Linked DNA regions of Medicago truncatula. The protein of the gene in region 2 binds, or shares a complex with, the protein of the main gene of each other region. Links are inferred from orthologs where the notes say so. Each region holds a gene or a part of one and is shown on either strand. Other genes may lie near its edges.

The links.
Region 1: protein STABILIZED1 (region 2) and zinc finger protein ZOP1 share a complex: the UniProt entries of both Arabidopsis thaliana proteins name them as parts of the pre-mRNA splicing complex. The link is inferred for Medicago truncatula from reciprocal best matches to the Arabidopsis thaliana genes EMB2770 and AT1G49590.

Annotation. Positions count from the first base shown.
Region 1 is NC_053045.1:41,915,567-41,919,323, reverse strand, and holds the start of zinc finger protein ZOP1, read left to right. Parts: upstream 1-929; 5' UTR 930-1,140; coding exon 1,141-1,149; intron 1,150-1,377; coding exon 1,378-1,578; intron 1,579-3,757. UniProt on the Arabidopsis thaliana protein: Nucleic acid-binding protein that promotes Pol IV-dependent small interfering RNA (siRNA) accumulation, DNA methylation and transcriptional silencing.
Region 2 is NC_053048.1:31,976,063-31,979,819, forward strand, and holds the start of protein STABILIZED1, read right to left. Parts: upstream 2,345-3,757; 5' UTR 2,219-2,344; coding exon 1-2,218. UniProt on the Arabidopsis thaliana protein: Pre-mRNA splicing factor required for splicing and for the turnover of unstable transcripts. May be a U5 snRNP-associated protein involved in the formation of U4/U6-U5 tri-snRNP. Involved in responses to abiotic stresses.

The sequences.
Region 1 (3,757 bases), on a different chromosome or scaffold from region 2:
ATATATATATATATATATATATATATATATATATAACTCCTATTATTTTTAAACTTAAAAAAAATCATATTTTTTTTTTCTCATATTTTTTGTTTTGTTCGGAATATGAATCATCTATCAACTAACATGTATTGTCGATTGTCTGTAGTTGACTAAATGAACGATACATGTCGTACAAAACCATCATGTGACATTAGGGGATTTGAATCCAAAATTGTAGGTTAGTTGAGTTTTGGAGATCACCATAGTCAGGACATGGCTTCAAGATTCAGCGAACAACAAACATTAATAAAGTTACGTATAGATCTTCCATTAAAAAAGTTTTCACATTAACAACTTAAACTGAGCTAACGATTTTCATTGTCAAATTTATGAATTATTTTGAGCTCTTATATTTAGAGAATTATATTCTTCAACGCTCTTTCAAAACTTCATTTTCTTTATATTTCTTTATTCCTATCACAACATTATTCGATTACATTTCTATCTTTATTTCTTTCACTCTCAATGTATATATAGGATGCATGAGTGTATATGGATCATTTTCCATAGATATACGGCATTTGAACAACTGTACATAATTTTCAATTTTATTTTTGTACAAATATGCAAATATTATCTTGATTTTAATTTATCGTATACTTCTTCGGGTGTTTCTCTTTAGATCCCTTCAATATTTCTAAGGTCTCCTAAATACATATTCGATAGTTATTTATCGGATGTACAATTTTTTGAAAAACGTATATCCGGTAGATAACTATCAGATGTATATTTAGGGGACTTTAAAGATATTAAGGGGGGCATAAAGAGAAATGTTCTACTTCTCCTTTAACCTGGGTTACACCTTATGCTGGGCTTGGGCAGCTAGCCCCAATTTGAAGCCCATTTAGATTGAAAATAGGCCCACAAGAATTACCAGTAGTCTTCTTTCTTTCTGATCGCAACGAAGAAAAAACAATGATCTGACAAAAAAAGTAAAAATCTCCATTAATTCCCCCCAAAAAGAACACGAAGAGAGAAGAAGTAACAGAGCTTGTTTCAATTCTGGTGAATTAGGGTTTTCAAAATTGAACAGAGTTTGGTGAATTACCTCTCAAGCTTAGCTTCCTCCGCTCTTCATTCAAACCCTAATTTGCTACCATGACTGAGGTTTGATCAACAAAATCTTACTCAAAATTTCAATTTATTATTCTAAAAATGCATCATTTTCGTATTCCCTTAACAATATTATGTCACTTCATATCAAAAACACAAAAAAAAAAATGTTTTTTTGACTTGGGTCTTGTAGTTTAGATGCACTTTGTTTGGCTGTGACTTGTACCTAATAATTTGTTTTCACTTTGTGTTAATTATGAACTGTTTTTCTCGTTTTTGCAGTACTGGGTAAGTCAGGGAAACAAATGGTGCGATGTGTGCAAAATTTACATATCAAACAACCCTTCCAGCATCAGAAATCATGAGCTTGGCACAAGGCACAAGGAAAATGTTACAAAGCGGCTCGCGACTATGCGAAAAGAGAATGCTGCTAAAGATAAAGAACACAAAGAAACGGCTAATGCTCTTGTGCAAATCGAGGCGGTAAGACTTTTATTCTTATTAAAAATATGATTGTTTCTGTTGCGATGCATATGTTTATTTTCATTTCATTGGAAAGGTTACTAGAAAATTTGAATGTGTTGTTAATGAATATTATTTGAATAATAGCCTTTTTAAATTCGGAATTTACTTATGAAAAAAAAGTTCACATTGATAGAAAACTTTGGGTTATATCAGTAAGCAGGCCAAGCCTTGTCTTGTATCTTCAATTCTTAGCAATATAACATTACTGGAGTAATATTTTCAATAGATTTATAATATTCAATATATATAACATTACTGAAACTCCACTTTAGAGAAGCTGTGTTTTTCAATCAAGTGCTCAGGGATCTATCGTATAAACTGTATTTGTTCCATACATTAGTTTGCATGTACTGTACATAATTTTCCTGAGAAGAACTTATTTTTATTTCGTGGTTTTTATATTTTATTCTTTAGCATTACCATAAGTAAGTGAACGGGGCTGAGTTGTTCTCATTTGATCTGTAGTCTAGACTTGAAATAAGAAGGTTTTCTGGGTTCATATTAGAGTTAATAATGCAGAAAGGAGAAGAATATGCCAAATTATTTTGAATCCATATTAATGATTTTTTTTTTCCTTAAAAAAAAAAAATCATTTTCAACACAACATCAACTGCATGATTCATTTCCAACTGAAAGTCGGTCATGCAGAAGGGTTTTTCATTCTCATTGTTTTACATTGACGTCAATTTAGTAAATTTTAAACTACATTATATTAAGTATCGTTTAATCTTTTCAAACTAACAAATTTCTTCTCTAATTTAACCCTCAAATAATTAGTTTATGCATCAATCATATTTTATCTGGAACAAAAGGTTAAGCTATTGAGTGAATGCACATAATTTATCTAGAACAACACTCATGCAAAAGCCCTTTGGGCTTGAAGTTGACAAGTGTCAAGTAACGTACACATGTACTTTGTGCTGCAATTTAACATTTATTTACAACTTACAAGAATGAGAGCGATAAACTCGTACTCAGTTCTACCCCAAAAAGATTATACTATTGGATTAAAACATTAATGGTTTTATATGTAATATATCTTACAATTCTAAAATCAAACAATTTCACAATATATTACTTATTTAGCACGTCCTTTTCCATTTTAATGTCTAAATTAAGACATGTGAATCTTCAATGAAATATTAAACTATCACTTTTATCCTTCAAATTATGTATTTTGGAACCCAACAATCTCTAACCTTGTCATCCACGAGCTTTCTTCAATGTTTTCAATTCATATTCTCCTTCATTGTTCAAAAACAAATATCCCAAATCACGATCAAGATATTACTTAAATCAAATATTACTTAGCAATATCTCAAATCAAATATCCCAAATCACGATCAAGATATTACTTAGCAATATCCCAAATCAAATATTCATACTTGCACCATTGTTCTTTGGAAGCCAATGCTTGGCTTCCATGTCAAGAAAAACTCAAATTGTTCGACTTATGATTATAAAAAAAAATAACTTTCATCATCAGATTGACTTTTTACACTAAAGGCCAACAGACAGTGTATCGTCGTGTGTTTTCTCGATTCATAGCTCTTGTAACATTTGTTGGGAGAGTGTCACATCCCTGTCTACCCATGCTTGTATAAATACCACCAGTAAGTAATCACTAAAACTACACAATTAAACATGGTTCTTTTGTCCTACATGCTTACATCCAAAGACTACTATCAACACCATATTACCATATAATGTTTGTGGACACACCAAATCACATCCATCCCATCTGATTTACTCTTGTTTTTACTCTTCTTTTCATTGGTACTCATTTTTGGCATCTCCAGCCTCGTTGAGTTTCCTTCCGAATCATGTCTTGCCTAGCCCATATTATATTTTCCTTTCTGAAAGACCGACTCATCTGTAAAAATCTTAAATCTACGCAAGTTTTTGATTGAGAGGAAGTGTTAGATTGATATCATAATATTTATTGTATCTTAAATATTACAGTATCTTAGTCAATCTCTTATTAGAATATGCTGAGACAGAGAGAGAATTGAATTACCAGCATGAATGAAAACTAATCTGCATGATTCTTGTTAGGAAAATGTCTACGTTGTGCTTAGATAGCATGTCATGAACCGACTATCCCATAAGTTTATTCTATTTTCGTGAAAGATTTGAT
Region 2 (3,757 bases):
AAGCCGCAAGCCATATTTCCTCTGAATTGGGAATAGCAGCGTAAGCTTCTTGGAGAATTGCACGGGCGGCAGGCACATCTCCAGCAAGCCACTTCTCCTTGGCACCCATAAGCCAAAGAACTTCAGCCTGTGGTCTGTAGGTAACTGCTTTGCGAAGTAATGAATCAAGAGTTTCCCTGGTACCATGACTCCTTTCAAGTTGTGCTGCTTTGATCCATATGCTCTTCTTAGTTAAGAAGACACTTAAGGCGTGATCATATATAGCTCTAGCAGTCTCAATAGAACCTCTTTTCTTGCATTCCTCAGCATCGGCAACCCATGTTCTCTTCCTATCTTCTTTTTCAACTCCAATTCCAATAGTACATTTGATTATTGCCTGGCATGTTGCAACTGAACCAGCTCGTTCTGCCGCCTCAGCTTCCTTCATCCAAGCTTCTCTATCAATCACCATATTTCCATTTTGCAAAGCCCTTATACCCCTTCTAGTAATCGTTTCAACCTTGTTTACCTTCGTCCCATCGGCCAATGTAATAAACTCTTTAGCCCCCCCATTAGCTTCTTCCAACTTGGCGGCCGTTATCCATATTGCTGGCTCCTTGGGCAGCCCCTCTCTTGCCTTATTGAGAACCTTCTTGGCATTGTCATAAGTTTCCAACCTAGCAAGCGCAAGCCACAATTCTACATGCAATGGACAAAATTCCACAGCTCTGTGAAGTAAAAGTCTAGCATCTTCTTCATTTGCAAGCTCCACAACAGCCTTCCACAACCTAACAGAATCAGGAATGTGCTCCAACCCTTTCCTCAACACCCTACTTCTATTCATATCATCGTTTTCCAATTTCGAAGCCTGCATCCACAACTTAACTGAAGTGGGAATTGACTTAACACCCTGAGCTATCACAGCCTTGGCATCATCGGGATTTGCCAATCTACAAGCCTCCAACCACACATCTTCATTCTTGGGACATTCTTCACACCCTTTCTGTATCAACTGCCTAGCCGCCTGAAGCTTACCCGCCAACTCCTCCAACCTTGCAGCAGCAATCCAACCAGGAGGATGTTTCGGATTCGTCTGAGTAACACTCTTCAACAACAACCTAGCCTTCTTAAAATCAGAAATCTCAGCATCACTAGTAATCTTCATACTATTCAAAACAGTAAGATACCCCTTCGGATCAACATTAGTCATCCCAGAAACTGAATCGGACAACCTATCCAATTTCAACGACAAAACAGTCCCTCTCCCCTCACCAACAGCAGTCAAATCAGTAACCGGCGTCTGTGACCACGGAGTCTCAGTCCCATTCGCCGAAGCAGCCCTACTCTTAGGATCCAACGCAGTCACATGCTCTTGCTCCTGCCTCGCTTTCTCAAGAAGCGTATCAGGCACAGGAACAAAACTCTCAAACCTCTTCTTCTTATTCTTTGACGAATAACCACCACTCTCAAACTTCTCCAAACTCTGCCAATCATCAGTAGACAAAGTATACAACTTCCTTTTCAAATCAGCAAACTGCTCAGTAATCTTCGGATTCGAAGCTCTATACTTCTCAATCTCCTCCTTCAACCGCGCCTCTCTCCGATCCTTCCTCCTCGAATCCATCCTCTTATCAATCCCTTCCCAAACAGCATCAGCTTCTCTATCATCCTCATCATACTCAGCAGAAGCAAACAACCCCACATCATTCCCTTCAAACTCATCAAATTTCTGATTCTCATCATACCCCTTATCCTCCCCTTCATCATCTTCCTCAGCAACATCCTCCCTACCTTTCCCTCTCCCAATGGGAGCCGCACCAGCTGGTGCGGCACCTGGTGCTGATCTATCAGGAAGATCCGGCGCAGCACGCGCCGGACCAATATCAGACCGGGTAGTAAACCCGGTGGCACCACGACCAAGTCCGGCAACATAATTAGCAGGCGGTTTGGAATTAAGAAAATCGAAACGAGGCGGTTTGGGGACGGCGGGTGGTTGTGTTCCGCCGTAAAAGGGGACGTGTAGGGTTAGGGTTGAGTAATTTCCAACACCGAGATTTGAGATTAGGGTTGAATCGTTATCGGCGAGTAATTTGAGACTCTGTGAAAGGAATAATCGTTGGTGTGAAATTGGAATTCCGTGGAAATTTTCGATTTCAGTTTTGAGATTGTGGAGAGTGGTGGTGTTAGGGTTTATGTCGAGGGAGAGGATTTTTCCGGTGGGTGGAACGATGAATACCATGGTTTTTGGTTATAGAGAATTAACGTCGCAAGGTTTCGTTTTTGGTTGATGGAGATTAAGAAGAATATAAGAGATGCGTGAAAACCGACTTAAGAAAATTGGTTTCCTCTTTAAAAAAAAAAATCGTTTCCTTTTCCTATTTATTTTCTGTGAAAAAACATGGGATATAATTAAATAGGTCTCTGATGTGATGTTCTTGTGAACTTAGCTTTGGTAGAGATTAAAAGTTCGAGATTTAAAACTCGGTCACCACCAAAAAATTGGGTTTGGGCTTGGACTTTTTTTATTAGGATTTTGTTCTTCTCACTTTGAAAATTGCTCAATCACACCTAAAATTTACCTTAATGACCCTAGTGGCAGTTAAGTATCAACGACATTTAACAACCGCTCGCTAGCAACTGTCGCTGAGTTATGGTATGCTGAAAGTAAAACAATTCAGTTTTCGAGATACTTGATCAGGGAAAATGCTAGATATCAAGAATGATTTTATAAGAAAAATTCAAGAATGACATGGCACAATAATCACCTTTAGATTTCAGTCTCAAATCTTTCATAAAAAAAAGATACATAACACCCATCACCCCATGATTTCCGGCCAGACTGAGATTTTATTGGTTAACATTAATTTCAGAACTATTTCTTGATAAAATCTAAGGATGATTATTCTGCCATGTCATTCTTAAAATTTTCTTAAAAAAATCTTTCTTGATATATAGCATTGCTCCTTGATCAGATTCCTCCGAAACTTTTCTAAAAAATAAGAAAAACTAAGACTTATATGTATTTGAAAAGGAATCACCAGTATAATAGATCAGATCTATTTTTTTTATAATAGATCTTATATATGTTTATTATCTTGTCCATTGCATAATATATAAATAAATCTAAGAAACATTAGGTCAAACAACCCAAAATAACACTGCAAATTAATTTTTCTCAAAACTAACAAAGTTGTTGTTCAAATAAAATTTTGTTAGAAATTAGTTAATACAATATTTGATGTTGTGAATTGATTCACAACTTGTTTGAATTAATTAACAAAGAAATGCATTTAGAAACATATGAGATTTTGGTGAGTGCATGCTTTATTAGTTAAATAAAAGATGAAAGCAAAATTAATGTATCATTAATTTAAATTGAAAAATCAATTTTGAATCTTTGATTGTAAGGTAATCATCACGCATTGTTGATTTTCTCACATTCCTACTGGTTAAATATGATGCATTCCAATCATAAACATCAGCACCAACTATCTCTAAAAATAAACACCACCAACTATATAAGCATGAATCACAAATATATTTTGTGAAATATGCTTATCTCCCTTATTTCTCATGTATTACATGAGACTTTTGTGTCATGCATCTCACGTAATAATGAATAATATATGAGAAGTGATATTTTGTACGACTAATCAAATAACGAAAATTATGATACCATAGTAAACAATTGCATTTTTTTTTGTTTTAATATTAAAAATAATGTATTTGTGTTTTGGTGGAAATCATGGTAGCCTAGTGTTGTGTTGTTTTCGTGGGT